4 linked regions of the Rhinolophus ferrumequinum genome follow. The protein of the gene in region 2 interacts with the protein of the main gene of each other region in a pairwise test. Links are inferred from orthologs where the notes say so. Each region holds a gene or a part of one and is shown on either strand. Other genes may lie near its edges.

Region 1 (7,746 bases), on a different chromosome or scaffold from region 2:
TTCAGTCATTCTTTTAGGGCAGGTCTGCTAGTGCAAATTCTCTTAGTTTTTCTTCATCCAAAAATGTTTTCATTTCCTTTTTATTCTTTAACAATATTTTCGTTGAATACAGGTTTCTGGGTTGAGAGTTCTTTTTATTTTAGCAGTTTAAAAATATTATGCAACTTCCTTCTGGTCTCGTGGTTTCTGATGAGAAATCCACTTTCATTCTAGTTGATTTTCTCCCATAAGTAAGGTGTTGTTTCTTTCTGGTTGCTTTCAAAAGTTTTTCTTTGGTTTTCAGAAGCCTGACTCTGATATGTCTTGGTGTGATGTATCCTGCTTGGAGTTCACTCAAGCTTCTTCAATCTGTAGGTTATGACTTTCTCCCTAGTATTTGAGAAATTTGCAGTTATCATTTCTTCAAATACCTTTAACCCATGCTCTCTTTCTTTTCTCTTCGTGAGACTTCCATGCCAGGACAGCTACAGTTTTTTCTTATAGTTCCACAGTTCCCTAAGACTCTGTGGATTTTTTTTTCAATCCTCCCCTTTTTTTTTATTGTGGTAAAGTAACATAAATTTTAACATTTAAAACCTTTTTAAGTGCACAATTCAGTACCATTACATGCATTCACATTATTGTGCAACAATTCCCACTTTCCCATCATCCGAAATTGAAACTCTACACCCATTAAACAATAACTCCTTATTTCTCCCTCTTCCCAGGTCCTAGTAACCATTATTCTACTTTCTTTCTCTACCAATTTGACTATTGTAGATACCTCATATAAATTGAATCACACAATATTTGTTGTTTAGTGTTTGGCTTATTTCATTTAGCAAAATGTTTTCAAGTTTCATCCATGTTGTAGCATGTATCAGACTCTTGTTTCTTTTTAAGGCTGAATAATAGTCCATTGTATGTATACATTGTATTTGGTTTATTCATTCATCTGTTAAAGGACATTGAGTTGTTTCCTCCTTTTGGCTATTATATGCAATGCTGCTATGAACATTGGTATACAAATACCTGTTTGAGTCCTTGCTTTCAATGCTTTTGGGTACATACCTAGACATGAGTTGCTGGATCATTTGGTAATTCTAAGTTTAATATTTCGAGGAACTGCCATACTCTTTCCCACAGTGGCTATATCATTTTCTATTCTATTACTCTTTGTACAGGCTGGGTAATTTTTATGTTCCATCTCCAATCCACTGATTTTTTTACTCTGTCCTTTCCATTTTGCTGTTAAGCCCATCCACTGAGTTAAAAAAATAAAATAAATATAAAATAAAAATAAAACATTTTAGTTACTGTATTTTTTTAAGTTCTAAATTTCCATTTGGTTCCTGTTTATATTTCCTATATCTTGGCTGAGACTTTCAATTTCCTTGCTGAAATTTCATTTCAAGTATGTTTGTAATTGTATGGTGGCTGCTTTAAAATATTTTCAGACAATTCTAACATCTCTATCATTTCAGTGTTGGCATCTATTGATTGTTTTTTTTCATTCAGTTTGAAATCTTCCTGATAGACTTTTGTGTATTCTGTTCAGGAACTTTGGATTTTGAGCCCTTCTATTTTAGCTGGCTTCCTCTGACACAGCTCTGGCAATGGAAGGAGGGAGTTCTTCCTGTTACTGCCCTATGAGGGAGCAAATAGAAGTTCCTTGTTCAGCCTCCATTGACTCCCTCAGGTGCAAGAATAGTTTCCCGTTACTGGTGGGAGATAGGAGTTCCAGCTCGCAGTAGGCCTCCACCAATACCTTCTGGATGGAAGGGGTAGGAGTGCCTTCTTACTGCTCTCCACGCTTCCTTCATGGGGTGGGTGGCCTCCTTACTGCTGTGGTAAAATCCTGACTCTCCACTAGGCCTTCTCTGACATCATTCCATTGGGGGGATGAAGTTGCTGTTTCATTGCTGTCTGGTGAGGGTGAACGTTCAAACTCCTTACGTGGTCTCCACTGACAGTGCACACAGCGAACAGACTTTGGCTGGGGGTTTTGTTTTTGTTTGTGCCTCTTGATGTTTCCATGTTGCTGGACTTCAGCTCCAAGTATGGGATGTATGTGGCAAATAGGAACCCTGGGAAATCACCACTGTGTTGTTCTTTGGGTCCCAACATCCCCAGCCAGTCTTCCTTCGTCCCTCCACCTTGCAGAGTCTTCTTATTTTTCTTTTATATGCAATGTCCAGGGATGTAGACGTATCTACTTACTGGGAGGAGTAGGAAAAAATAGCTTTTCTTCTTCCCACAGAAAAAGTCTAGATTTTGCATACATTTTAAGATTGAGCCTACTGGAGTTTCTGATGGATGGGGTGAGGTGGGTAGGTGGGTGGGTGGTTGAGAGAAACAGAGGAGTGAAAGATGACCCCAAGAGTCCTGGTCTTATCAACTAGAAGAATAAAGCTGTCATTAAAAGAGAGGGGAGAAGACTGGGTGAAGAACATTTCTTTTTGTCGGCAGTATTTGGAGCTCAATTTTGGAAAGGTTAAGTCGGAAGTGCCTATTAGACATTTAACTGGGAATGTTGAATAAGCAGATGGAGATGCTGGTGCGGAGTTCAGTGGAGAGGTCTGAGGAAATATAAATTTGGGAATCATCAGCATATGCATGAAGTTTAGAGCCTTGAGAGTGGATGAGATCACCATGATGGGGAATAAAGATAAGGGAACAAAGATGTATAAGGACTGAAATCTGGTGCTGTTCAATATTTAAAGGCTGGGAAAGAGTAGAGAAATCAGCAGTTGGTGATTGAGAAAGGAACAGCCAGTGAGATAGGAAGGAAACCAGGAAACCAAGTGAAGGAAGTGACATTGCTTCTAGCCCTTTCCAGTTAGGGTGATCATATTGATTTTCTATTTCAAATTCTACTTCATGGGTCTTCTTCTCTCTTCCTTCCTCTGTCCCTCCCTCTCTCTGTTCAGATGTTCCTGGACTGACTTGTGATGGGGTTACTTCCGAATAAACCCATTGTAAGTTGAAAATATCTTAAACCGAACATGCATTTAATACACGTCACCTACCTAACATAGCTTAGTCTAGCCTATCTTAAGTGTGCTCAATAGCCAAATATCCAAAAGATGTTGGCAACACCGTACATCGTAGAGTATTGGTTGTTTACCATCGTGATCATAAACTTGACTGGGAGGTGCATCTTGCCACACTGCACAGCTTCATAAGAAAGCATCATACTGCATATCATTAGCCCAGGAAAAGGTCAAAATTCAAAATTTGAAGTATGCTTTCTACTGAATGTGTATCACATTTGCACTATTATAAAGTCAAAAAACATAAGTCAAACCATTGTGAGGTGGGGACCATCTGTATTTGTACCTCTTGGCTCTGGACTATTTCAAGCAGAAGGCCCACATGCACTTTTTTGGGTCAGGTTAAAAGAACCTATAGTGTGATTAGCACACATGACTGGAAAATCTTAGTGGGATATTTCCAAGGACAAAAATATTGCAAAGAAACTTTAAACTTTACTTACCAGTTTTATTGTTAGTGGTAATATTGGCGTTCTAATTTTGAAACAAAACTGTTATATACGCTGTAGGATAAAACAATAATTATTGTTTGTAAATAACCTGCTTTTTTGGTGCTCATCACTCCGGCTGCCAAATGATAGGCACTAATTTCCAGTTCTGGTTCTTCCATGATGGATTTTCTTCGTTTTTCTTCTTTTTGACTATCTTTCTTTTACTGATTCTAGTGTGATTCTACTATAATCAACCTTCAACACTTCAAAATTTGTTGAGATGGTCCCTGTGACCCAGGTTGTGGTCTGTTTTGATAAAAATTTCATGAGCACTTGAAAAGAATGGATATTAACTTTTTGCTTTGTAGCATTAGGAATTTTTGTCAGGTGTAACTGTTCCTGTTTTCAGATTGTAATATAACACCAGACCCTCACAATAAAAAATCTTCAGGGCAAGAAATAGCCTTCATTGGTATAACCACTTCATCGGTTCTGCCTAGGTATTTATTGAATGAGTAAACATTTCAAAAATAAGGACTAGGCACTGTATTTGGAAGTGGAGAATGTTTTAAATTCATCTAAGATGGTTTTCTAAAACTGTCAAATTACTCTCTTAAAGACTTGAGATGTGTATTTCAAACTGTGTTAGATAAGTCAGCATGATTTTTAGAAAATATGTTCCACATCACCACTTCACATAAAACAACTTCTTGGTACTTATGTACATCCTACATGAAACTAATAGCAGCAAAGGGCTATTAGTTCTGGTAATTGTGATCAAAGTTTCTGTTTTAATTAATTTTTATATAATCTACGTAGAGACCGCTATCTAAAATTACATAAGACAAACTGCAATACCGCTTAGGGCTAATTAACAGAATGATGTTGGATAAATCGAGTCTCACTTTCCTAATAAGTGTAATGGGAGTTAATACAGTTCATGGTTTATAAGATTGGGAATGGGGATTAATCAAAAAATTAGAAGTGAAAGCATTTTTACGCATGAGACCTTATATAAATGTGATCTATAATGCTATTATGATCAGTTGCCAACATGAAGTGGAAAACATTTTTAAAAGTCTACTTTCTTCTTACAGGACTCTAAGGGGAAGCCGCAAGCGCACAATGCGCGTGTGCAAAGGACTCTGTTGTGGGGAAAGAGGTGAGGCTGGCAAAGATGGGAGGCGGGGCCCTACGCCAGCTCTTTCTCCCAGCTCCGCCCCTCGAACGCCAGACTGCGCACGACGTCACGAATCGCTTGTACTTCCGCTTCCGATTACTCACGTTTCTCTCTCTTCCTGTCCGGCTGGAAAGATGGCGTCCCGCAAGGAAGGCACCGGCTCTGCTACCACCTCTTCCAGCTCCACTGCCGGCGCGGCAGGGAAGGGCAAAAGCAAAGGCGGGTCCGGAGATTCGGCCGTGAAGCAAGTGCAGATAGATGGCTTGGTGAGTGGGGTTCCGTCTCCTCCGGCCCACGTGGGAGCATAGTTCCCACGCCAGTCCCGCCTGAAGCGCTCCCCGGCAGCTTCTCCTCTAGGCTCGGTGAGGCTGGGCCAAAGTTGTCCGCTGAAACCCTCGTTTTTCATCTTCACTTTTGATCGGGAGACGCCACAGCCTTCTGTGCCATCTGACGGGGAAATAGAGGGAACAAGGCGAAGGGGGTGTGTGTGTGACAGATTCTTGGGGTCTTCTTTTGTGATGCTTGGCAGAGGGGATTTGGAGAAAGACGTCTCTGGAAGACGAGTAGGTGACGGAACTGTCGAGAAGGAACTAGGACTCTAGGGCTTTGGGGAGGGCAGAGGAAGGTAAACGAATGCTTCCCTGCTGGAGTATGACATCTGTAACTTCCCAAGGGGAGATTGACTTTGTAGTCACGTTTGAGCCTATCGTTCAGAGCTTTACCTGAAACAGCATAATTGGAGTAAACATCTGTTATGTTGGTTTCTTCTTTCCCCATCTGTGAATGTTGGAGTGCCTCAGGATTTGGGTTTAAGCCTCCTTCTATCTGGTCTCTGCTGGACATACCGTAACCAAGGACTGTAGTTAAAAGCACACCTCTGGAGCCACACTGCTTGGGTTTGAATCCCACCTCTAATTAGCTGAGTGACATTGGGCAAGTTAATGTCTTTATGCCTCATTTTCCTCATCCGAGTTGTTTTGAGGATTAAAATTGGCTGAACGTGTCAATAACTAGCACGATGTCTGGGACATAGTAGGTTTCCACTTCCGCTTAGCTGCTGCTGGTTTTTGTCGTAGTTATAGTAGTAGACTCTCTTTAAGGACCCTCCTGGTGGCTTTCCGTATTTATATTCTGAATTTATATTTCTTACCAGATTTGGTTGTTGAATGCCACTCTTGAATACCCAACTGCCTGCTTGACATCACTATTTGGATATCTTATAGGCTCCTCAAATTTAACGTGTCCGAAATAGAATTATTGACTTCTTCCCCTCACTCGTCTCTCCCGTTCATTGGTCCTACCTCAGTCTCTCCCACCTTAATAAATAGAACTACCATCTACCCATTTGAATAAGTCAGAAAACCTAGGCATTCACCTGCATTTATTCTTTTTTTTTACCCTCAACATCCAGTCTCAGCAAATCCTTGGGGTTTCACCTTCAAAATACATCAGAGTCGTCTGCTTCTCATCTGTGTGCCACCAACCATATCCACTTAAAAAATAAAATACAGACTTCTTGCCACAGTCTTCAAGGTCCTGCTACTCCTGTCTCTTTCTCCACACTCACCTCATACTTTCTAGGCTCCAGTCACAATGACCTTTCAGTTCTTTGTTTTCTCTGTCTGAAATAGTCTCTCAAATATTCCTTCCCTCTTGGTGGCTTCCTTTGATGCTGTAGGTCTCAGCTCAAATAACACCATCTCAAGAAAGGCTTTGCCTGACAACCTTGTTAGAAGTAGCCTCCCCCCGTCACTCTCCATCACACCGCCCTGTATTTCTTTCATTGCATTGTCCACTGTCTGTAATTGTCCTGTGTGTCTCCCCCACCAGAATGAGAGCTACTGAGGGCAGGCAGAGACTATGCTTTTGTTACCTGTAATTCCCAATACTGAGCCTGTTCACTGACATAGATAGGATAAATGAATGAATAAAAGATTACATTTTATTTTTGTACTGCTATTAGTTTATGTCCTGATGCTTTTCTTTGATCAATTATTTTAATGGTACCTTGGATTGTTGTCTTAGCCCTCTTCAGTCCATCCTTCATACTTTTATTAAAACATTGACTTAATGTGAAAGTTCACATCTTACTAACTTCCTTCCTGAAATGTTTTCAGTGATTTTGCATTGAGTTCAAGGCCCACCAAGATGTTGTCCTCCTTTTTGTGTTTAGGTTTATTTCCTAGTTTTTCCAGGCTTCCTAGGAACTGTGCATTCTAGCCACACACAACTATTTGGTAGACCTAATGTTTAACCTCATTTGTTCCTGGCACCTTGATAGTGGCCAAGACCAATTTTTCTTGTATTCTTGAACCTTTCCTACCTTTGGTCTTGTGTCATCATTTCCTCTATCTTTAGTATTACCTTTGTCAGGACTTTCCTATATTAAAATGTTCAACTCTGTCTCTTTTCTTGGCACTCTCTGTTCCATTCTTAATCCCCACTTTTTTTCCTCTTGAAGTCAGTGGTTACAAATCGTCTATATTGGTCGTCTTCCATTGTTTCTTTAATTCACTGCTATTAGAATCTGCCACCACCTATTTCCTAACTTAGTTTTTGAAAAGATCATTCATAACATTAGCAAAGTGTAAAAAAAAAAAGTCAAAAATATATCATTCATGCAAAGTAGTGTCTATAATACATAACTTCAATAATCACAATATAGCCAGTCACCTGCCATTTAGTTTGAGAAATAGAACATTACAAATATCTTTGAAGCCCCTTTCCCTGTTTCATCCTTTCCTCCCATCCCTTCTCCCCACCCTATTACTCTTCTGAGCTTTGTTTCAGTGGTTTCTTGGTTTTCTTTATAGCTTTACCAGTGTATTCCTAAACAACTTGTCTAGGTTTGCCTATTTATATTAATAAATATGAATTAAATCATAGTATGTTCTCCTGTGTCTTGAGTAATATGTATACATATACAGTAGTACTTCGGTTTTCGAACGTCTCCGTTGATGAACCTTTCGGTTTACGAACGCTGTAAATCTGGAAGTAAATGCTTCGGTTTTCTTGGAAGTCGAACATGTTACACAGCTTCCGCTGAGTGCAAGATCCCAAGGCCTAGCTGTCGGCTGTTTTCAAACATTTCTGAACTTGAACG
Region 2 (7,839 bases):
GGCAGTGACATCAAGGGCCAATTTATAGGCTGGAAAGCGAGTCCAGATTTCTAATTTCAAATAAGCTGAGTGTACATTTTAGGACCTTTCCCAATAAATAGCGTCCCAACTTAACTGTGTCCTTACACCTCAGTTAAACCTTCAGTAAAATGAGGTAATATTTACTCTTTATTTCCAGCGTTGTGGAAAGACAGTTTTGTTTTAAGCCTGGAAATTAGGAACTCAAGTGCCAATTCACATTTACCTCTCACTCCACCTACATTTAATCCCCACTTTCTTGGCTGCTATATGTCATTGCGTGGTCTTTTTGTTTTTGTATCATGACTTGTAGGCTTTAGAAAGAAAGTCTGTTTCATTTGGCTGCAGTGGATTAATAACTGAGTGGTACATGAGGTAGCGGTGTCTTTCATGTTGCTGCGATCAGCAGGCTCATCATAGAATTCAAGGAGGTGGGAAGACAAGGTTATTCTTTGTTCGGAGGCCAGAGCACGACCTCGCGGTGTCCACTGGCCCACGACTCCCCGCTCTCGTTGTCCTCGGCTCAGTTATCTGCACTAGGGAAGAAGGGTGATGCAGACCTAGTTTTCCAGCTCCTGGTCTGTGTGCCTTTCGTGGCTGAGTTAACTTGGCCGAGTTTTCCCTCTGAGGTCATCGCTTATTTATCCTTGCCTTATAAAAATCTGCTTTCTAAAGAGCTGACAAGCACTTGCTCTCTCTTTCTTTCCTGAGAACTAAAAGAGGTCCATCCAGCTCAGTTCTTCTCAAAGACACCCCAGCTGCGCCTTGTGCTAGTTTGCTCATCTCTACAGGGAGGGAGAGAGCCAGCGAAGAGTGGCTGTGACGTTAGTGAAAAGGCTTCCTTGAAGGTAGACTAGATACTTGGACAAAAGGCCACGTTCTCTCACACCTTTGGGATTTCCATGTGATTGACGCTGAGAGGCCCGACCCCATAGATCCTAGTTACGTCACGTGTATGTGTGGAAACGTTTGTGAGAGGCAGGCCCGCAAGCCGCATTCTCTCTTCCCACGGGGATCCGCTCCCTCAGCCTGGCTGCCCGGCCCCTACTCCACCTGGACTGGGTATTTTTTCATCACAGAGATCCCTTACTTTTACAGTGACTATACCGAAAATCTTGGTTTCCAGATGTCCCAGGTCATGCTGTTGTCAGCTTAGGAGGGTCTTCTAAGTCTCCTAGTGGATCTTTTGTGTTCCTCTTCTGTTGCTTCTGTCCCCATGAGGTTTTGGCATAGACGGCCATCAGAAGAATTTGGCATTAGCAGGAGCTCGAATCAAGAGAAAACCCCAGGAGGATGAAACCCAGGGGATGAAACATGGTCCAGATTTGTACTATTGTTTCACTTGCTCTCTGTCGGCTCACTGTGGTCTTTCTCTCTAGAGAAGTCTCAACTCCTCTAAAGGGACAGTGCTTTCTTTGCTAATCCATTCTGCTCCGCTCACTCAGTTCCCCTGGCAGGAAGAGAACAATCTCTGGGAGCACAAATAAAAACCTGCTCAAAGCCTACCTATAGCGTATACAGAGTCTATCCCTGTGCAGGAGGAGAGAAGGAATAGCATATGCCCCTCCTTTGTCTAGTGTGGGGGCGCTGAGGCACAGAGCCAGGGTACCCCTTGGCTGCTCAAGGTAGATCTGAGAGTGACATTGGAATGTGAGGCTCCCCACGACAGATAAAGACACTCCCCAAGACGGGAGAGTTCAGCTGTATGTCTTCTGGGATCCCTTGCTTCCTTTTTCCCACTTGAGAAATAAAACTGAATTCTCTGTTCACCCTGCTCACAATATAAAGCTACTTAAGTGCTATTTCCATTCACCATTCCTCTGGGGGACAGAGGTTGGTTTTCAGAGTGACCTGCATTCCTGTAGGAACAGCCACCCTCTCCTCCCCGTCCTGGGGAAGAGCCACATCTATTGGTAGTCTCTTGGCTAATCCCGCCTTAGGGTGGTGGTTGTGGACAGACCTCTCTGTTGACGTGGGTGCCTTGGGGTGTAGTCCTCACATCAAAAGGAGGTGGGGGTGGGGCGTACTGCCGACCAGGATCAGATAACCAGGAAAATAGAGCAGTTATGTAACTGTGTTTACTATGGCTCAGGTGGCTCTGAGAAGGCAGAGGTGGCCCCTGGCAAAAGGCAGTGCCAGAGATGGGGAAGTCACAGGGAGGGAGGGCCCTGTTAGAAGATAAGGGAGTCAGGAAGATAGGGCATCGGGATGAAAGGAGTCTGCTCTGTTGTTAACAACAACACTCACCTAGGACCTCCTTCCCTAGCCACAGGCTCTCCCTGACCACACCAGCCAGCGGTCTGGGCCAGCAGCAAGTAGAGCTGAGGCTGGAGGAAGGAGTTGAGAAATCAGACACCTGGTTCTTGGCTAAATCTCTGGATTTTGCTACGTTTCCCCTTTAATCTCCCACTTTTCAAAGAGGAGGGACTCTGCTCCCTAACTATGGGCAGAAAGGGAGATGTCCGTCAAGGGGCCTTATGCTCTCTGCTCCCACCTCTATACAATCTCTCATCCTCTATACTATCAGGCTGGGGGGACACCAAGGGAACATGGTGGAGGGACCCTGTTATAGCCTCTCCTCAGGCCAAGCCCATAGCCTAAGACTCTGGGAAGGAGAACGAGTCCCACCGGTGCCAGGGCAAAGCAGGCTCTGAGCTGAGAGGTGACGAGCCCAGCAGAGCTCAGACCTCAGTAGACAGGCAGAGGTTCAAAACAGCTCTGGAGAAAAGCTCAGGTCTCCAGTGGGGCCTACTGTGGCTCCTGCAAAGCTGTTTGCTGGATTCCCTATTCCCATAGAGATGACACTGGTAACCAGTCCCCCGCTCCTTGCCCATGGTTGCCACTTTCCTTTGAGAAACAGGAAGTAGGGACCTTGGTCAGCTCAGCTGCACCCTCTACATTAAATATTTATCTTGGAGTCCAGGTCAGAGCCCTAGAGAATAAGAGAAGCTTGCTGCTGGCGAGAGTGGGCATGACCAGAATTCCTGGAGTTGGAAGAACTTCAGCGTCACCATCTTTGGAGAACAAGGAAGAACACGAACGCGATGTGTCCCTTCTTAGTCGTGAGGACTGTGACAGGTGGGGAACAAAACTGGTGACAAGGGTAATGGGCACATCTTTTGTCTCTGTGGCAGGGAAGAGGATGGTGACAAGGGGTGGGGAAGTAAGTGCCCAAGCTTTGGAGGAAGGAAAATGCCCTGCCACCAGCCCTCCGTGCTGCAGCTACCGTCCCTTCCCCATCCCTACAGTGTTCTGGGAGAATCACAGATTCCTGGAAGGGGCCTTAGAGGGGATCTCATTGAGCTCCCTGCTCAGTACACTAAGTGCCTTTACAAAGATGCCCCACAACGGCCAGACTCAGAACCCCGTAATCATTTAAAAGCTCTTCCTTGGAAACCTCCCATCTGCTTCCACGTGTGCACCCAATGGTCCCACTTGTGGTAGCTCAGCCGGCCTGTTTCCACATGCAGCCCTGCAGACAGTGGAGGCCAGCCAGCATCCTCTCTCTCTCTCCAGCTTCTCTTCAGCCAAACGTCCGTCCCCTCTTTGTGCTGTTCACTGGTGATATTATTTCACGCTGGTTCACCACAACCCAGGTCGCCCTTTTCACTGAATTGAGAAAAGATAAAGCTAATAGCATCAGTGATGGTAGGGAGTTTTTTTCTCCATTCCCTTCCTTCTCAACTTTTCAGTTGAATAATGTACTTGGAAAACACTCTAAAGTGCATGGTGGCCTCAGGGCACCAATCTTACACCCAGTACCTATGCAATAAATGTTTTCAGATGTTCGTAATTTATAAGTGAACACTCCCAGAATAGATCTGGTATTGCCTAATACCTCTTTGCTATTGGTTTGTTTGGGGGCTTGGCGTTCCCCAACCGAGCCAGGGACTAAAAGTACTCCCCTCCCGAGTCTTTCCATCAGCAGGGAACATTCATTGAGCACCCTCACTTCCTATCACAGGCTCTGTGCGTACACAGAGGCCTGGGGGTGAGAGGGAAGGGATGGGTGGCCAGAGGGGTCGGTAGCCAATGGGCGCGGGCTCCTGGGACCGGTGTCAGAGCAGCGGGAACAGCGGAAAAGCAGCGAGATCAAAACAAATGCGGTGTGTGGGAACACCAAGACCCCGTCACCCCATCCCCGCCAAAGGGAGCCGCCCTCATCCTCTTCAGGGGCGCGCCACGCCCGGGGGACCGCTCCATTCGGCCGGTTTCCTCCCGGGGCTGTCCTCCGCGGGGCTTGCACGTGTGTGAGCATCGCCCGGTTTGGCAGCGCCCGCGCGCGCGTGTGTGTGTTTGCACACGCCCGGACGCGCGCTTACGCAGGCCCCAAATCTCTCTCCCAAGTGCGGGGGGAGGTGGCGGGCCCCTCCCTTGGTCCGCTAGGCCCCTCCGCTTTTGGGGCGCCCTATCTCGGCACCAGCCCGTCTGCAGAGCGGCCCGTCTCCGGGCTGCCGGCTCCGTATCAGTGGCTGGCTGGACCCGGCTCTTTAATCCTTCGTGCCCTCGGTCCTGGCTCCGCCGTGCAGCGGCTCCCTTCCCACCCGCTGGAAATGTCGCTGGAAACTCTGAGTGGCGTTCCCCGCCCCCCGCGCCCGCCCCGACGCCAGCCGGGCGGTGGGGGCCGGGGAGGCAGCTGGGAAACCAGAGCGTGCTCCCCAGGGACCTTGGCGGCCCCTCCCGGCGCCTCCGCGCGGCCGGCCCGGCCCCCTCGGCCGGGGCCACAGCGTCCTCGCGGCGCGCCCCGACGGAGGCCACTCGCTCGCTGGGGCTGCGGACCCGAGCCCCCGCCCCGCAGGCCCCTTCGCCCCCGCCCCCCCAGCCCCCGGCTCACAGTCCAGATTGGAGGCAGGCTGACCGCCGCCCGCCCGCCTCTCTAGTCCTTCCTCCCTGCGCGCGCTCGGCCCCGTCCATCCCTCTTCCTCCTCGGGCGCCCGGCCTCGCGGAGACCGTCCTGACCCGGTCACGAGGGTGGACGGCACAGCCCGGACCGCTCCCTGCCCTCCCTCCCCGAGGGCCCGCCGCGGCCTCACCAGGCAGGAGCCCGGCCGAGATGCTCCTGCCCTCCCGGGCGTCCTCAGTCCCCTCCACCTGCTTGCCGTGGAAGGTAGGTGTCTGGAGAAGAGGGGGCGGAGAGGAGGCGGGGGCGCAGTCAGGGAGGCACCTGCCTGAAGGGAAGGCACAGAGCCCGCCCCCTGGGGTCCTCGCCCCAAACTCGGGGGTGGAAAGAGGTGAGAAGTCTCCCTCAAAACAAAAAAGTGAAATTGGAGAAAACCTGTCCTGTCCACGTGGACTCATAGCTGGAAAATACCCGAGAAGACACCTAGGGCTGAGCCCCCAAAGCCAGGGCAGTACTTGCAGGTGGGAAGGAGTCCCTGACCACAGCAGAGCCACTTTACCTCTTCCAGCCTTTTAGAGTTGGCTGCTGGGGTGAAGGACAGCCAGAGTGAATTCTGGGAGGACCCCCGAGATTTCCTGGCACCCTCTGCCCTCTGCCAGGTGCAGGACCAATTTCCTCTGGCGGGGCTGCAGGGAGAAAAATGTAGCCCGCCCTTCCCCACCACCCTCTTGCATGTCTCTTGGGGGTGTGCCACAAGGAGCAGCTTGGGGAGGGCCAGACTGGGCCCCCAAGGATCAGCCACCCCCAAAACTCAAGTGGTGTAAGGGAACCTCCTGCCCTCTCCTTACTGCTAGTGGGCTGTTCTCACTGAGCACAGCAGGGTGGGACAGATAGAGGCAGGGAAGGAGTCTGGGTCAGCTGACGGGTAGAAAAGACTGGTGCTGACCTCGAAACTTGGCCTTAAGCAGTCAGCTGGGCAGGGAGGGGCGTGGTGCTAGGAACCAGCCTGCTCCCGGCCTAGACCCTCTGGCCTCCCACTCTCCTCTGCCTCGGTTTCCCCTGCAAGGGGAGAGAGAGCCTCAGGAACTGGGGTGTGTCTGCATGTTTTGCTTTTGGTAGGAGTCCTAATTCAATCCAGCTGGTGCACTGTCCCTCCTCTAGCCTCAGCCTTCTACTCCCCCCAGAGCCAGGGGTGGGCACAGGAAAGCTGTGTCCCCAATAGGCCTTTCAAGGGTCAGAAGGAATCCCCACTCAGACCAGAGACAGGGAATTGCCATGGCCTTGTCTATACCCTCCAGCGTGCTCAGGGGCTGGGTAACCACAGCCTCTATTGTACCTGCATCCCCTCTGGTCTCTATAACTCTTGTGCTGCTTGTATGATTGCACCCTCCCCACACTGATAGCTGACACTCCTCTGGACCCACAATCCCCTTGATATTCACATGCCCCCACACCGTGGTACCCCCTCAAGTCCCATTCACGGCACTGCCCTTACATTCCAACACACACACATGGCACTTCACAAGGCCCTTGCTGCATTCCCGTGAGCCCCCAGACCCCACAGGCACACACAAGCCTAAGGAAACAAAAATGCCAGAATTGGTAGAGCCCCAGAAGGCGGCGAAGGTTGACTCTGCTTCTGGCTCAGTGCAACGGCAGAGGAGAGGAGCAACCAGCTTCTTACCACCGCTCTCTGGGAGGCAAAGCCCTGGTTGGCAGCCCCACTGCCTCCATCTCCTGGCTGCCTGACTTGCATGGGGCAAAAGAACCCAGCTGATCAGTCAGATTTGCTGCTTTCAGGAAGACCCTCTGTTGAAAAAACAGCCTGGAGGTGTAGGAAAAAGTGGGGTGTGTGTGTGTGTCAGCACCACCCCTCCACACACGAATCCATTGCTCTTAACCACTGCTTCGCTCTCTGCCCCCACCCCTCACTGGCACCTTGAGCCCTCTGAGGCATCAGTTTGAGCCAAAGAGGCCCAAAAAGGGAGCTGATACTCCTCTGAGCTCAGAAGGAGTGGTTCCTGCTGCCTGGAAACGCCCCCACGCTCTCCCTCTCCCTGGATCCTTGGACCTTCTGGGCAGCGGGTGGGCAGCCGTGCTGTTGCCCAGGGCCTCTTGCTGGGCCTGAGGAACCCCTGTGCCTGCTGGTGACGGGATGTTCACACAGGGACGGGCAGGAGGCAGAGGGAAGTGAAACAAAGTCCCGAGTGCCCAGGCCTCCTCTGCCAGCTGCCCCAGTTCCCTCTGCCTTCCCTATGGGGGAGCGGGCTGACTGTGCAGTGAGAGCCCCAGAGGGGCTGGCCAGCAGGCCCGCCTGAGGCTTTGTCCAGCAGGTCTGCTCCTGGCCAGCCTCCCCTCCTCCTCGCCCGGTCTCCCCTCCCCCACTCCCACCCGGAGCTCCTGCCCAGGGCCTAACAAGCAGCCCATTGTACCTCTGGGAGCCGGCACTGGCAGCCTGCAGGCGGGTGCCCGCAGTGGCCTGTTTCCTGGGTCCTGGAGCTCCCACTCAGCTGGCCCTGACCCTCTCCCACAGTTGTCCCCTCCTCCACCACCCTGAGGGTACAGGCAACCCAGGCCCAGCCAGGCTTTCCCTTCCTCCCTGTTTCCCCACAGAGGACCTGCAGAGGAGCTGGCACACCCGGAGTCCTCCGACCTTGACCCAAGCATGCAGGCCCCACCCTGCAGCCTCCCAGCTGGGCTCAGCCTGGATGACTTCATCCCTGGCCACCTCCGAGCCCACGTAGGGTCATCCTCCCGGGGGACACGGGTGAGTGAACAAGAGAGAGGGTGACTGTGGGCCCCTAGTTGGTGGGGACCTTGCAGGACAGGTGTGGAGCACAAAGATGAAAGGACGGGAGGGCGGGAAGGGGTTGGAAGATAGCTCTCGCTGGCTTCCTGCAAAAGGGTCAAGCTGGCTCCAAAGCCCTCAGCATGGGGTATGACTGTGCCCTGGCAGCCATCCCTCCCTCCCTACTGCAGAA
Region 3 (7,459 bases), on a different chromosome or scaffold from region 2:
AAGAATAAAATAATTTGGATGAATCAGTATTTAAATGCTAATTTTATTAGAATATTGAAATTGTCCAGAGAATCAAAGAAAATCATTATGTAGAACAGCTAAGCAATTATTAATATCAAAATTGGTTATTCCTTAAAATACTTCCATTCTCCTATGTTTTATACTCTTTTGAATATATGAATTAACAAAGGGTTTGATGAAACTATGTACTAAGATTTCTCATTTAGTACTAAATTTGTCAGGAAGACAATTCAGATTGTCATTTTAAAGTATATTTTATTAAGTTGTACATTTACAAAAAGTCTTTTTTATATCTTCAGGTGATTCTTATTTTAAACAAAAGATCTTGATTCACTGGTTTTCTTTGGAAAAAATTAAAAAATAAAGTAAGTGATATAAGCTAATTAAAAAATAAAAGGGCAGGCATGCCCTTCTATTTATTTAGGGGCAACTTATTTAGGGTAGGTGTGCCCCAAAACAGAAGCCATTAAACCAGGATATGTTGGAATTGTTTGTTTTAAATGAGTAATGGGATGTGATACATGTTTACATATGTAATTACTGCTTAATTTCCTAAAACATTATGTTGTTTTTATGGGAATAAATCTTCCATAATTTGACATCTACAGCTTGACTAGTCATAACACTTATTTTTGAAGATGTGTTGGAGAACTTAAGTATTGAAAAAGGTAACCCAATGCCATAAAGCAGAAATATTCAACATCTTTAAAATGACTAAAATTTCAACCCAGTCTAGTTTCATATCTTTAGTGATTTCTTACAAGAAAGAATTCCATGTTTTACAAGCATTTCTTTCACAATGGAATAATATAATGGCATTGAAATAGAATTATGTGTCAGTTAAAATTCAGTAACATTGACAACATTTTAGAATATGGTTAGATCGGTGGGGTTAACATGGTACTGTATGAGCTCTTGAGAGAGACAGAGAGAGAGAGAGAATCTATATATTCTTTTGCACATCAGAACCAAATTTCATCAGTACTCCAACAAGTTTCCAAGTAACATTTGAAATGGTGACTTAGAATGTGATTCATTTATACCGATATTCAGAAGTGTAAAAAAATGGTTGCAGATAACATCACTTTTAACAGAACAGAACATTTCTGGTTTGGAACTATTTATATTAGCTTCTTTGGATACTTAAAAAATGAATAAGCACTTCATTTTTTAAAATCAGTTTTGTATTTATCTATATGGTCTTTTTGTTTTAAGGCTAAGAAAGTGGGTACTGTTCTCTTGGTATTAAGTTCCAGTATTACACTTTTATGATTTATTTTTCTTAAACTATTGTGTTACATACTTTTGGATGAAAATAATAGTGACACAGATTACCTCAACTAAGTGTGGGGGGCAGGTGTGTGTGTGTGTGTGCGCGCCACTCCACCAGGAACTTAGATATTGTAGGTAGATTTCATGGTTAATGGTACATATGTGGCTTGGGAACTAGATACATCTATTGAAGCTCTAATTATTTCTAAAAATAATGAGTTTAAGGATTATCCTAGTCAGATACTCACTTCATTTCAAACTACTCATCTATATTTTGATAAGTGATGCTGATTGACATGATATGGAGATAAAGAAATTAGAGTGAGGTGACCAACACCTGTCTGTATCATCCCCTAAACTTACAAATATGCTATTGGCCATTAGTTGGAATGAAATAATATGGACTAAGTATGCTCTTCAGGATTGTCCTAATCAGTGATAGGATGGTGGGTTTAGCTAGCTACTTGATTCCTTGCATCGTAGCCCTTACTTCTGGAATACTTTCCTCCTGAAGTATATCTTTTTAAATAATTCCTTTAGTAGATCTCTGTTGTTGGTAACATCTTTGTTTTTGATTGATGATACATTTATTTTACCCTCACTCATATGACTGATAATTTAGCTAGGTGTACACTTCTAAGTTTGGTTATTTTCTCTTGGTACTTTGAAAATATTTTTCCATTGTCAACTGGCACCTATTGTTGCAGTTGAGAAATCTGCAGTAGATTTAACAATTGTTTATTTATAGGGTACGTCTTTTCTTTCTGGTTGTTTTATCTTTGGTATTCTTCGGTTTCACTTTGTTTGAGAAGATTTCTTTTACTTATCGTGATTGGGATTCACTTTGCTTCCTGAATCTGAAGGTTCTTGTCTTTAATCAAGTCTGGAAAATTCTTAGCTATTAGCATATACTGCTCCTTTGTTTACTTTTCTCTCTCCTGGAGTTCTCATTAGGCTTCACAATCTATCCTTATGTCTCTTAATCTTTCATATTTCCTCTGTCTCTGGGCTGCTCTCAGTAATTTATTTAGTTCTGTCTTCCAGTTACTAATTTTCTCTTCATCTGTGTGTAATCTGCTATTTAATCCAGACATTGGCTTTGGTTTCAATTGTTATATTCTTTATTTCTTGAAGTTCTACTTGGTTCCTTTTCAAATCTGTTTGGTCATTTAAAAAAAAGTTTCTTGTTTTTTGCTCATGTCTTATTTTGTTTAATCATTTTAATAAACTTTTTATATTCTGTAACCAGTAATTCCAATATCCAAAGTTCATGTGCTTCATTATTCTGTGTGTGGTGTCTGTTAGCTTATTAACTCAGGTGTATTGTAATTATATTTTTGGTGCTCATGTTTAGCTTTTGATACCCTGTTTATCTGTGGAAATCCTTTCAGACCTGGATTGAGAGTGAACCTGTGCAGTGAGGATTTATATTTGTTTCGTCCAGGCCTCTAAGTACTACTAGCTTGGGACCGCTTTCTTGACTTGAGGTTTCCTGGGCAGTGTAGGAACTATAAATTTGAACTTTCAAACCCATGTGAGGGAAAGTTTGTGGTTATGAATTCTAAAGGGAAATTTTTTCCCCTCCATGCCAAGTCCAAGCTAAAACATAGAAATGTTTGCTTGTCTCCATGGGTTGGTAGGGAACTTTTTTCCCCCAAGTCTGTTCTTGGAGGATGTAGCGCTTTAAGTTTCCCAGCCTTTTGCAGGATCAGAGTCCTAACTCCATGTACAGGCCGGGGCCTTATCTTTGGTCTCCTGTCTCTTGAGCAGCCAGTAAAACCTTAGAGATTTCTGAGATTAAATAGATATCCTCAACACCACCATGGCTTCAGTGCCCTACTCATCACACTGGTTTCTTGCTTCCTCTTTGGGTTGAGTTGTGGAGTTTGAAAGACATCAGGGATATATTTTTCTTTCTTGGAAACTTAGTTATACCTTTGAAAGGATGTTCTATTTTATCCAGAATTTCTGTGTGTTTAATAAGGGACTGTTTTTCAGGTTATGTAATAGTGTGCCATATTTCTTCTTAATTCCTTTCTCTTGTATTCTCCATATAATTTAAGTTTTTTGCTCTACATCTTAGATAAGCACAATCTGGCTACTTTTATACATTTCCACTGGTATCTTCCTAGTATTAGTCATGATTACTGCCTCCCTAGTTCATTTCCCTTCTATTCTTGCATCTCTATATTCCATTCTCCACATAGCAATCTAGTGATCTTAAAGTGTAAACCAGATAACATTATTTCCCTGCTTAAAACTCCTTACCATGGCCTTCAAGATCCTTCCTGACCTGAGTCTTGTTTGCTCTAATGTTTTCATTCTACACTGTCCTCCTTGCCCTAAGCTCCAGCTACAAGGCCTTCTTAACTGACCTTAGCAAGCCCTTTTCTTCCTCCTTCTGGTTGTAATCTTTTTCCGGGTGCTTCTCTTAGTTCGCTCTGTTCTTGGCTTAAATGTCACCTCCTTGGCTTCTGTGGTCACCCCATCCAAAGAAACCTCCCCAGTTTTTTCCTTATACCAGACATCATTATTTTAATTATTGTGTTTTCATATTTGTAAGCTCCACAAAGGCAAAGTGAGTCATGTTCACCCTTGTATCCCTGATGCCTTAACAGTATTTGGTACATAGTAGACACTCAAATATTCATAGAATTAGTGAATACATTGATAACGCCTCCAAGGATAAAACATGGACACTTCAATTTGTAAGGAGGTGGAGCTCAATTTAGCAGCAAAATAATAGTAAGTCTGTAGGTAAAAAGCAAAATGGATAATGGATGAGTTCCCAGAAACAAATGTCCTGGAGCAGATTCATGTAACAGTAATATCTGTCAGCATCTTTGGTTAGCACAGACCTGGAGACAATGCTGAATTAAGTGAAGGACTGGCGTGCTCTTAATGTAAAGACCAAAAGAGGAGGGGGAGGCTAGAAGACGAGGGAGAGGGAGAGGGAGGCAGTACACATCTCCAAACTACAACTCCCAGCAGGCCCCACGCGAGTCCCGCCCATTGGAGAGCGGTGCCCGTCTCCGCCCCGTGGAGCTCCAGGCTTCGGGTGGGGAGGGGTGGTACCGTGGCCTCGCTCCTCCTTGCTCCCCGCCGTCGCCCTCCCCCAGGGTTGTGGCCACGCGCAGCGGCGGCGGTTGTTCCGCTTCCCCTCCGGCCGGGGCCGTCGCCATTGCCGAAGGCTCCTTGCCCTCCCCTCCCGGCGCCTGCGGGGCTCGGCTGCCGCTCGGCCTAGCGGTAGCAGCGGCTGCGCTACAGCGCGGCTCCTCTTCTCGTCCCCCTTCCCCTTCCGTCTCCTTCCCGCCGCGAGCCGCGCGCTTGCCCAGGGCGGCTCCGGACCCCGCCGGGAGCTCGGACGGAGGCGCCTCGCTGGGGCGGGGACCTTTCCTCGCCTGGGGTAAGTGTGCAGACAGGCCGGGACGCGGGCCATCTCTCTCCTTCCTTCTTCCTTCTCCGCGGCCTGGCAGGCTCGAGCGGCCCGGAGCAGCCGACCTGCCCCGCGCAGGGCCGGGGCAGCCGCCACCTGCGTGCCTGCAGCCGCGACTTCTGGGGCGGTGGCTCATTGTCTGCTCCCTAGGGCTGTTTTCTCCGTTTTAAGCCCGAAATGGGAAGCTGGCTGGGCAGGTGAGGTCTCACTCTTCCTGAACCCAGCCCTGCCCTAAACCGTGTCGCCACGGATTCTGCCCTGTCTCTGTCTGCCTTCCGTTGCGTTTCAACCTCCTCCTTTTTCTCCGTTTACTTTAATTTTCAACCAGACGTCTTGAGTTTTATTTCCCGATTTTTTCCTCTCTCACTGAGTCCCAGCTCCTCCTTTCTACCCCTCTGTTCATCCCGTTTCACTGCTCAAGCATATTGTCTAAGGCTCTTTACTCTTTCTAAAGTATAATCTGTAATTTCCATATTTCACATTAGTAAAAACGTACAGTTTTCCTGGGGTTTGAGGGCCTCCACTTCAGAACTTTCGGATCTTCTCGTGATTCTTATTTGATCTTCAGCCAGGAGGTGAATATTTGCTTCTTTAGGTAATTTAGGTGAAAATTGACTTTTAACCATGTTTGGCTTTCTTTAAAACTGCACACACATACAAAACGCTCCCACAAATTCCTCCGTGGGCTCAACTTTTGGCCAATTCTTTAAAGATAAAGTCATTCAGTAACTGAAGTGTGAAAAGTAATTGCCATTGTCAGTTGGTGTGGGGTTGTGCCCATTCTTGTATCTTAATTTTAATGGGGTTACTCTGGGCAGTGTGAGCGTGATTTGTTTCCTCCTTGATAAATATTGTCAACTCCCATTGACACAATTATCACAGTTCCACTTCACAAGTGATCTATAGTTTTCTTTTTTAACCTGTGTAAAAAGACAATTAAAATGCTTAGGCCTAAAATTAGACTCCGAGAAGCTGTGTTTTGGATCAAGGTTGTGCACGTCACGTTTTTCCCCCTGCTCTGTTTGACTCTTCCGCTCTTATAAGTAGGCAGGATATTGAAATATACAAGAATTTGCTCTGGGGGTTTTGTTTTTGTAGGGTTATCCAAAAGAATAACATTAAATGAAGTAAGATTGAGATGAAGGCAGTGAATAGTAATTTTTAAAGCAGGTTAGAACTTGTCAGCTTTGCCAGAAGTTCTGTGGCATTCGTAAAACACACTCGTAGTCACTTCTATATATTTTATATATATGAAAAAATACATATAAATGAAAAGCTTTGTGTATATTCTGTTAAGGGTATTGATTTAAGGCAGTTCTTTCATCATCGGCTTTTAAACCTTTCTACCTATTAATTAGCCAAGAACACTGATTTACGGTGTGAAAAGTGAACCTCAAAATGTTTTTGACCTGTAATATATGGAGGTCTTAAACCCACTTTCAGGTTTTGGTGAAAGAGGTTAACCTAAATTCAGTGAATTTTTTGTTTCCACTAAATAGTACATTGTTACCAAAATTGCTTAGTACTGAGCTTCAATACTGTCAACATTTGGTAGTGTCAGTTGTCCTTAACTTCATGGGAGGTCTGCTTAGCCTAAGGTGTTAAGATATAGTAATGTTAGAGTGAAACTTGGTCTGTGATGAGAGCTTCTCTGCCAGTTCTTTCCATAAGCCGATACTTTTACTAAGGAAGAGCTCCTGGGTATTGTGCTTCACTTAGGGCCTTGATTCCTGCTTACCAGTTATTCAAAGAAAGAGTTGTTCTGGACTTTGTGACATTGAATACTAACCTTGTGAATTCAAATTCATAAAGCGACAGTAAGTTTGTAGTTGGAGTATATCTACTAAACAAATGAATAGGGGTTCCTATGTTTCTCTGATGCTTACGATAGGCCCGTTTCCAAGATGTGGTTAACAGTGGTGTATATTTCTTTTCAATTATACTTTTTAAAAGAGAAAACTTAGAACTTGTTCAGGTAGCCAAGGATAAACTTGCAATTATACTTTTTTTAAAAGAGATCTTGTTCAAATAGCTAAGGATAAAATAAGTAGGTACTGTTAAATCCTTCCTATGCTTAATCTGTCAATATTGATTATTCTAATATTAAAATACAATGTTCCTTTTGGAATTCTATATTTTGTACTTTTGATGAAAACTTGAAAGTGGGCCTTATTTAAGGCTTTAAGTCTTCAAGTTTCTGATCAATTTATTTTCCAAAGCCCTTTCAGTTAGTTGGAGGGCTAATTGATTTCAGATTAATCAGAGGGAAGGTGTTACGTTACTCACAGATCTCAGTTGTCTCTCCTATCCTTCTTGTACCTTGGCAGAAGCAGAAAGAGAAGGAAAAAATAGCTCCTATTGCCATGAAGAAATACTGATTGTTTTCTTCTGTGATCAGAATTGAGTGACACTGCATCTTCATTTTAGGATCACTAACCTGATTAAGAGTAGTCAATCTGAACACTCACACGGGATTTGCATTCTAGCTTACTAGTATCTCCGAGGTAAGTTAATGCTTGTCCCACGTACCCCAGGTGGTTAAGGCGGTTAGGAGCCGGAGACCTGGGTTGGAATCCTGGCTCTTCTGCTTGATCCTGGGCAAGATACACATTCTTTTTCAAGACTTGATTTTTTTCATCTGTAAAATGGGAATAATAATAATAATATAATAACAAATTTCATAGGGTTATGTAGGGCAAATGAGATAATGCAGGTAAAGTACTCAGCAAA
Region 4 (7,484 bases), on a different chromosome or scaffold from region 2:
GGATGGGGCGCCATAGCAACCGCAGATGAGCCCATGCCCCTCTCTCCACCCTCTGCTCCACTTAGCCTCCTGGCAGCAATTGCGAGGGGCATGATAAAGGACAAAGCTGCATCTCCTGGCAGTCTTCTCTGGCTGCCTGCACCCCTCTGACACCAGGCTGCCAAACTGGAATTTGAGATTGGGGATGGCGAGGGTGGGAAAGAGCCTAATGTAACCATAATCAATCTTTGTACAGACTGTGGCAGTTCATAAAGTGTTTTTCATGTGCATTATCTCAATGAATCTTCCCCACAACTACATATGATGAATGTTCCTATCCCCATTTCACAGATGCAGGCACTGAGGCTCAGACTCTCCCAAGATCGCCTAGCTGCTCACTTTGAGTTGAGACTCAAACCCTGAGCTCTGACTCCCCACCACCACCACCACTGTGTTATTCAACCTCAGAGACCTTAAGGATTAAGGAGGAGTAGATCAAGCCCAGAGAGGCGAGGGGACTTCCCTGGGACCACACTGCTTTTTGTGACAGAAAGGGAGTCTCCACCAGGGGACCCCTCCTTCTGCACCACAGAGCAGCAACCACAGCCAAAGGGGTAGGGGGAGGATGGGGAAGGAGAAGAGAATGAACAAAGTTTTGCCTCTGCTTCCACCTTCATTTTGTCATCCTAAGCCCTGTCTTCTTTCTTTGTGAAACCTGTGCCTAAGCCCTCTGGCTCTTCCCGGTTTTCTTATGGCTCTGCCCTTCCCTCTGTTGGACAAGATAACTGGAGCCCCAGAGTTAGCATCATCTCAGGCAGCCTCCCTGGATCAGAAGGGTGTGGATTCTTGCAGGCAGCCACAGAACAAAGCCCCTGCCTTCTTCCCCTTCCCTCGTCCATCACCTTTCCATAGCAGATGCACTCCCCACTCACCCCGCAATCTGGCCCCATATATACATGCTGTCTTTTGGCTCCTTCTATTCTCCTCCCCCATAACCTTTGATGTCCCAGGTCACTGAGTGTGAGTAGCAAGGGACGGGTGGTGGTTGCTAAAAACTTCCCTTGCTTTACAGGTGGCCTCTGCAAACAATCCTGCTTTGGAACCCTAAGTGGGACTGTAAGGGGTGGGAGGACGAGAAGAGGGCTAGAGGACAAACCTCCAGCAGAATTCCTAGGGTGTCAGAACTAGAAATGCCTACAGCCCAGACAGTTCTCTAATGGAGAAGGAAACTAAAACTGAAACTGAATGTCAGCAAAGTGACCTTCTCAAAGCCACAAAGCCAGTGAGTGGTCATAAGGTCAGACCTGTGTCACACATCCACAGCTCTCTCCTTGGCCTGTCTCATTCTGTGTGCTAACAGAGAGGGACAGAGGGGGCAAGTGACCCATTCCACTTTCTTCGTATTATCAGCTATGGTGGGTTAGATGAAGGCCAACAAAACACACTGGGTGAATACATAATAGTAAGTTGTCTTTTTCCCCCCAAGAAGCTTTTCATAATAATAACAACTAACATTTGTATAGTGTTTAAGCATTCACATGTAAATTTCCATTTAATCCTCGCTACAGCCCTGCATGAGGGGCGAATTATGATTGACCTAATTTTACAAATGAAACACACGTTCAAAGATGTTTAGTTATTTGCTCTTGGTCATTCATCCAGGAAATGGCATGATTAGGACTCAAACTAGATGGCAAGCTCCAGAGGGACAGAAACGAGGCCTAACTCACTCATCACTGCACCCCCAAAGCCTGGTTCACTGCTGAATGACTAAGTGAACCTCAGGACTGGTTTAGACTCTCTGAATTGCTCTTCACAAACCTTTTAAACTAGGATCCTCCCACTGCAGGGACTACTTATATAGCCCTCAGTGAAAAAGGTTTGTGTGGACACACAACCTGCTCAACAAACACACACCCATCCAACTCATACAAAGATATACTTCCTTTGCTTGGAGCTTACTTTTCGATGGTTTTTCTAGGATCTGGGCTACAGATCTGGACATTTAAGGGCATGGAGAAAGGCAGCATTCCTTAACCTGCCTTAGAAAGAGCATGTGTGCATTCTCCTGTGCCTCTGTGTGCTCTGGGCAGGTGGAGATACATCCCAGGTGGTGGACATAGTCTCCCTCTGGGGCCAAAAAAGTAGCTGGACAGCAGAGGGCGCTGCAGAGCTACAGACCTTGCATTCACCGGCCAGTTTTACAGACACAGCCAGGGATCTTGGGTGGTCTTCTTAGGACTCAGGTGTTTTGTGATCCTATAGCAGTTTCTCATTTGTCCAGAAACCTGAGTGACTTCTGAGAGGTAACTGAGGGAGAGAGGGTAGAGAATAAAATCTTTGGAGTCAGAGCTGGTTTTGAATACCACTGTACCTTTCTGAACTATGTGATCTTAGGTGAATAACTGAGCTTCAGTTTCTCCATGGGCAAGGAAGCATATTAATGCTGTTGTGCTGAATTAGAGATGAATTTGTTTCAGGAGCCTCTAACACGGTGTGAGGTTGAATAAGCATTCCATGCTTATTATCAAGGGTCGACTCTGTGCTGGGCACAGTCCTTGGCACTGGAGAGTCCCTGATGGGCAAACGTGGCCCCTGCCCTCAGGGAGCTTACAGCTTAGTAAGGAAGACAGACTTTAATCAAATAACCCCACAGATCAATGATAAATTACATCTATGCAATTAAGTGAAACAAAGGAGTGTGGTCCTGGGGCTTGGTGAGAAGGAAGTGCCCAGGCAGGGAGATTTCCTTGAGGTAGAGAGCAGTGAGTTCAACCTAAAGAATGCATAGGAGTTTATTGAGCAAAAAGAGAGGGAAACAGCCTTTTAAGAAAAGGGAATAGCTTGTGCAATGGCCACATGTGGCAAGCTTGACACAGGGCTAGTGGAAATGCAGAGGAGAGGAAAATGGGGATGTCAGAGGGCTCTTTAAAGAGTTTTGTCTTTAACCTAAGAAAAACGGGAAACCATTATAATCACGGACTGTGGACAAATGTCCATTTTAAAAAGGTGTCTCTGGCTGCAGGACTCATAGTAGACGCTCCACCCTCTTCCCTTCGATGCACCCTCAGGTACCAAAGTTGCTAAGTTCTGCTGGCTGCTCCTTCCTTTTTGTCCCTTGCAGCCCTAAATATTTTTCATGGGATGATTGCAATGGTTTCCTAACTGGTCTCCCTGCCTCCAGTCCAACCTCCTCTACACAACAAACTTGATCTTATTTGATCTTCACAACATGTCTGCAAATAAACAAAGGAGCAATCCTTATCCCTATTTTGCAGATGAGAAAACTACAGTACTACGGAGCTGGTTCAGACAGGCTTTTGAAAGCCAATTATTAAAATTTCAGGAATTTTGCAAGCCAGTTGTTAAACACAGCCACTGTTAAAAATTAAGTTATACAAATTTATAATTAAATAAGTGATATTAAAGACAAAGGTAATAAATTCTCAAAACTCATCACTTAATAATTTCACTATTTACCTATGCTCTTGGGGTTGTTATTCTATATGATGAAACTACTACATTACAGTTTGCTATTGCTCACCTCTAACTTCGTGTTCAGTAGAGTCAGATTGGTAGATTGAAATTACCATGGAGGCAGTGTTTACACCATGGAAATTGGCAAACCCTACAAATCAGGACCTTGATTTGTTTTGTTGATTATCTAGATTTAAGAATGTGATGGAGAAAATGTTCATTATTCAGATTTAAATTTAATGTTTGACCTCTGCAGCTATTACACTGTGGATTGCACAAAAATTGAGAACATATTCTTTCAGTATTTGAAAACTGTTTTCTGATTCAGCAAAGAAGTCACTCCCAAAATTGAACTTTCCTCTTACATTGACATAGAAGAAAATAGTAACCAACATTCTTGTCATAATTATACTCCTTGGTCAACTGAAACCCATTCAAGAGGCAAACATCAAGGAAAGTATTCTGTGAGAATCTCTTGGTTACGTGGAATTTTCAATTGTATATTATTTTTTGTAAATCATCAGTTAAATTTGATAAACGTATGTACCAGTATATATGCATACGCCCCTTTCCTTTTTCCCCAGAGCTGTCCAATATTTATCAGCACACCACTGGGTCTAGAATACATTATTCATATGTCATTACCTAAATATTCACTAGATGCCAGGGGGATAGTCTGTCAATGAAGAAATGACACGGCCACGGTCACACATCACAAGCGGCACAGGCGGGACCAGAACCAGAGTAACTCCCAAAGCCAGCAGCTCTCCCAGGACCAGTTCGCGCTTCCCAGGGCCGCTCCATCTTACCCGGAGGGCTGGCTCTTGCCTGAGCGCCCGGGAAGTGAAAAGCAAGGGTCGGGGCAGGAGACCAACAACCAGGCGAAAAGCAGCTCGCGGCCAATAGCTGCCCAGGCCGCGCGTAACGTCACGCTCCGTGAAGGCCCGCGCCAGCACACCCGGAGGAAAGGGGCGTGATCATCGCCTCCCGGAAGTGACGCCATCCGTGGGCGGTCCTCCGCGGCGGCGGCGGCGGCGGCGCGCGGCCTGGGCTCGCGCTGGGCTCCGCGCGCCCCCCGCCCCCTCTATGAGGCAGAGGCCGCGGCGGCCGTTAACGCTGTCGCTCCGGGGCCCGTGGCGGGCGGGGCTCCGGCGGGGCTCGGCCTAGTCCCCACCCCAGCCCGGCTCCCAGCCGCCCGCCCTCCCTCCCTCTCTCCGATGCAGGGGCCCGAGCTCCGGGATGGCGAGGCGGCGGCGGCGGCGGCCGCTTCGTACCGTGTCCTGAGCCGCCTGCTCGGCTATGGAGAGGCGGCCCCCGAGCCAGGCCCACCGCCGCCGCCCCCGGGCCATGGCCCCCCGCCGCCACCCTTCCTCGCGCGGCCGGGTCCGCGGGGCTCCCGGCCGCCGCAGCTGATGGTGTTCCGCAACGTGGGTCGGCCGCCGGAGGAGGAGGACGCCGAGGCGGCCCCGGAGCCGGGACCCTCGGAACTGCTGTGTCCCCGGCACCGCTGTGCCCTGGACCCCAAGGCCCTGCCCCCGGGGTTGGCGCTCGAGCGGACCTGGGGCCCGGCTGCTGGACTAGAGGCGCAGTTGGCGGCTCTGGGGCTCGGGCAGCCGGCGGGGCCGGCGGTCAAGACGGTCGGTGGGGGTTGCTGCCCGTGCCCGTGCCCCCCGCAGCCGTCCCCTCCGCAGCCCCAACCGCCTGCTGCCGCCCCGCAGGCCGGGGAGGATCCCACGGAAACGAGCGACGCGCTGCTAGTCCTGGAGGGCTTGGAATCGGAGGCCGAGAGCCTGGAGACTAACAGCTGCTCGGAAGAGGAGCTCAGCAGCCCGGGCCGCGGAGGAGGAGGGGGCGGCCGGCTTCTGCTGCAGCCCCCAGGCCCCGAATTACCCCTGGTTCCCTTACCGCTGCAGGACTTGGTGCCACCAGGGCGCCTGAGTAGAGGGGAGCAGCAGCAGCCGCCTCCCCCGCCCCCGCCCCCGCCCGGACCCCTCCGGCCACTCGCAGGCCCTTCGCGGAAGGGCTCCCTCAAAATCCGCCTCAGTCGCCTCTTTCGCACGAAGAGCTGCAACGGTGGCACTGGTGGTGGGGATGGAGCCAGCAAGAGGCCTTCTGGAGAGCTGGCTGCTTCAGCTGCGAGCCTGACAGACGTGGGAGGCTCCGCCGGCCGGGAGCTGGACGCGGGGAGGTGAGACTGGCTGGGGGGTGAGTGGGGGTGGGGCTGGCTGACAAACTTCCTTTTCTTGTTTCATTTCCCTTTTATTCTGCTAACAAGATCCTGACAGTTCTTATGATATGGCCTTCATAAGGAGGCAGAGACTTGGGGCTAAAGGTGGTGACATAGCTCATTAGGTCAGAGCTAATTAATTATGGGAGACAGCTTTCACTCTAAGAGTCCACTCCCTGGGACACTTGTCAGCTGGTTATTAGCATCTCTCTAGTTCAGAGATGATTTGAAACCGTTCCCCTTCCCCTCCCCTGGCCCAGCTTTTAAAGTTTTTGCAAGATGTCTCTCTACCATTACCCCTGGCAGGGAGGTTGCTGGAAATGTTTGGTCTTTGGGACAAAAAATTGGTGTTGCATTTTGGCCACCTTGCTTATTACTCTTTCTGTTACCAGCATCCCACCTCTTTCACACTGATGCATACAAATGATGTGAGGAACTCGTGCAGTTGCAGGCCCACAATCAATTGGGCCTCTCTATTGAGTTTTGATGTTTTCTTGATTGGTCTCTTAGAGGTACTTGGCATCTCAATCCTGTGTGCTGACCGCTGTCAGTGAGCATGGAAAATAGCTTTGCTCTCAAGCCCATGTGAGAGTGTGAGGCATAGATAGGCACTGGTGCATGAGTTCTGGCCAATTGATGAAACTTCCAAACTTAGACGTCGAGTTTTCCTGCGTTGCTGAAGGGTACACTGCTCTCTGACCCTCCAGTGTTAGATCTGTTTATTGATTTAGAAAGCTGTCAACTTCTGTGTCCATAAATGGAGACTTCCCTTGTGGTAACTGCCATTGTAGTTGGTGCTGCTGAATGGATTCTTAGAAAGATTGGAAGTGGTTTTGGTGCAGCTCATGTGATAGATTCTTGAGACACAGCCCAAGGCTGAAGAACAGGTAGATGAATAAATTGAGAACTTTGTGCACCAGGATCACGTGGGGAGCTTTGGGGAAAAGATCAGTATGTCTGATGGCCCAACAATTTGAATTTTTAAAAAGCTCCCCCATTGATCCTGAAGTGTGACCTGGACTGGGAACCATTCACCCATGGCCTTCTCTTTTCACGGGAGTTTGGATGCTCCAAAAGGAAAGTGTGAGGGCAGGTTGGCTTTGCTACCCTTTCTGAACATCTGTGCCAGGGACTCATCTTGAATCGGATCAAACCCAAACTCCCTAAACAAACCAGTCCTTTGATGCGTGGTGCCCTTTCTGGTAGAACTGTGTTTCTGCATTTGCCTCCCAGTGAATTCATGCTCAGATCTTGAAAAGTGTGTGGCTGCTAAAACAGCTTTTTTTGTTGTTGTAGGCTCTGCATTCGATGCTCCGCTTAACCAATACATAGATGAAATTTTCATCCGATGGGGGAGGGCAGGGTTGAAGCTGTGGGTAATGACATAGGATAGATTACTAATTTTCTTGTGGTCTGTCTTGCCTTTGTTCCATATTGACCAGGACTTGGTCTAAGATTCTAGAACCGCCAAATATGAGGTGTGGCGTGAAATTAGCTGCTCCATCTAATAGATTAGGAAGAGGAAAAGTCATATAACATTATACGGGTTTTTGCCTTTGGAAGCAGAATTTAATGGTCATTGGCTGCTCTGTCACCAACCCTCCCACTAAGCACAATACAGATTGCTGCTGCTGAGCAAATTGGGCTCTTGCTCTGCAAAGCTTAGTTCAGGGCACTGGAGAATTACATTTTTTGGTCCAGGGGCTTTTCTGATGAATTGGAGAAGAGCTAGATATTTGTGTACGAACGTTTGGTTGACTGCTGTTAGGAGGCAGCATGTTGGTTGGACAGAGAATGGGAA

Evidence for each region.
Region 1: the proteins of SORBS3 (region 2) and EIF3H interact in binary tests that used the Homo sapiens proteins (3 or more experiments, as listed by UniProt). The two-hybrid records come from large-scale screens. The link is inferred for Rhinolophus ferrumequinum from reciprocal best matches to the Homo sapiens genes SORBS3 and EIF3H.
Region 3: the proteins of SORBS3 (region 2) and PAK2 interact in binary tests that used the Homo sapiens proteins (3 or more experiments, as listed by UniProt). The two-hybrid records come from large-scale screens. The link is inferred for Rhinolophus ferrumequinum from reciprocal best matches to the Homo sapiens genes SORBS3 and PAK2.
Region 4: the proteins of SORBS3 (region 2) and SOCS7 interact in binary tests that used the Homo sapiens proteins (3 or more experiments, as listed by UniProt). The link is inferred for Rhinolophus ferrumequinum from reciprocal best matches to the Homo sapiens genes SORBS3 and SOCS7.

What each region holds. Positions count from the first base shown.
Region 1 is NC_046297.1:55,676,802-55,684,547, reverse strand, and holds the start of EIF3H (eukaryotic translation initiation factor 3 subunit H), read left to right. Parts: upstream 1-4,742; 5' UTR 4,743-4,777; coding exon 4,778-4,909; intron 4,910-7,746.
Region 2 is NC_046301.1:43,963,359-43,971,197, reverse strand, and holds the start of SORBS3 (vinexin), read left to right. Parts: upstream 1-4,831; 5' UTR 4,832-5,125; intron 5,126-7,471; 5' UTR 7,472-7,523; coding exon 7,524-7,625; intron 7,626-7,839. UniProt on the Homo sapiens protein: Vinexin alpha isoform promotes up-regulation of actin stress fiber formation. Vinexin beta isoform plays a role in cell spreading and enhances the activation of JNK/SAPK in response to EGF stimulation by using its third SH3 domain.
Region 3 is NC_046285.1:50,985,071-50,992,529, forward strand, and holds the start of PAK2 (serine/threonine-protein kinase PAK 2), read left to right. Parts: upstream 1-4,447; 5' UTR 4,448-4,699; intron 4,700-7,056; 5' UTR 7,057-7,233; intron 7,234-7,459. UniProt on the Homo sapiens protein: Serine/threonine protein kinase that plays a role in a variety of different signaling pathways including cytoskeleton regulation, cell motility, cell cycle progression, apoptosis or proliferation.
Region 4 is NC_046304.1:35,402,357-35,409,840, forward strand, and holds the start of SOCS7 (suppressor of cytokine signaling 7), read left to right. Parts: upstream 1-4,473; 5' UTR 4,474-4,673; coding exon 4,674-5,644; intron 5,645-7,484. UniProt on the Homo sapiens protein: Substrate-recognition component of a cullin-5-RING E3 ubiquitin-protein ligase complex (ECS complex, also named CRL5 complex), which mediates the ubiquitination and subsequent proteasomal degradation of target proteins, such as DAB1 and IRS1.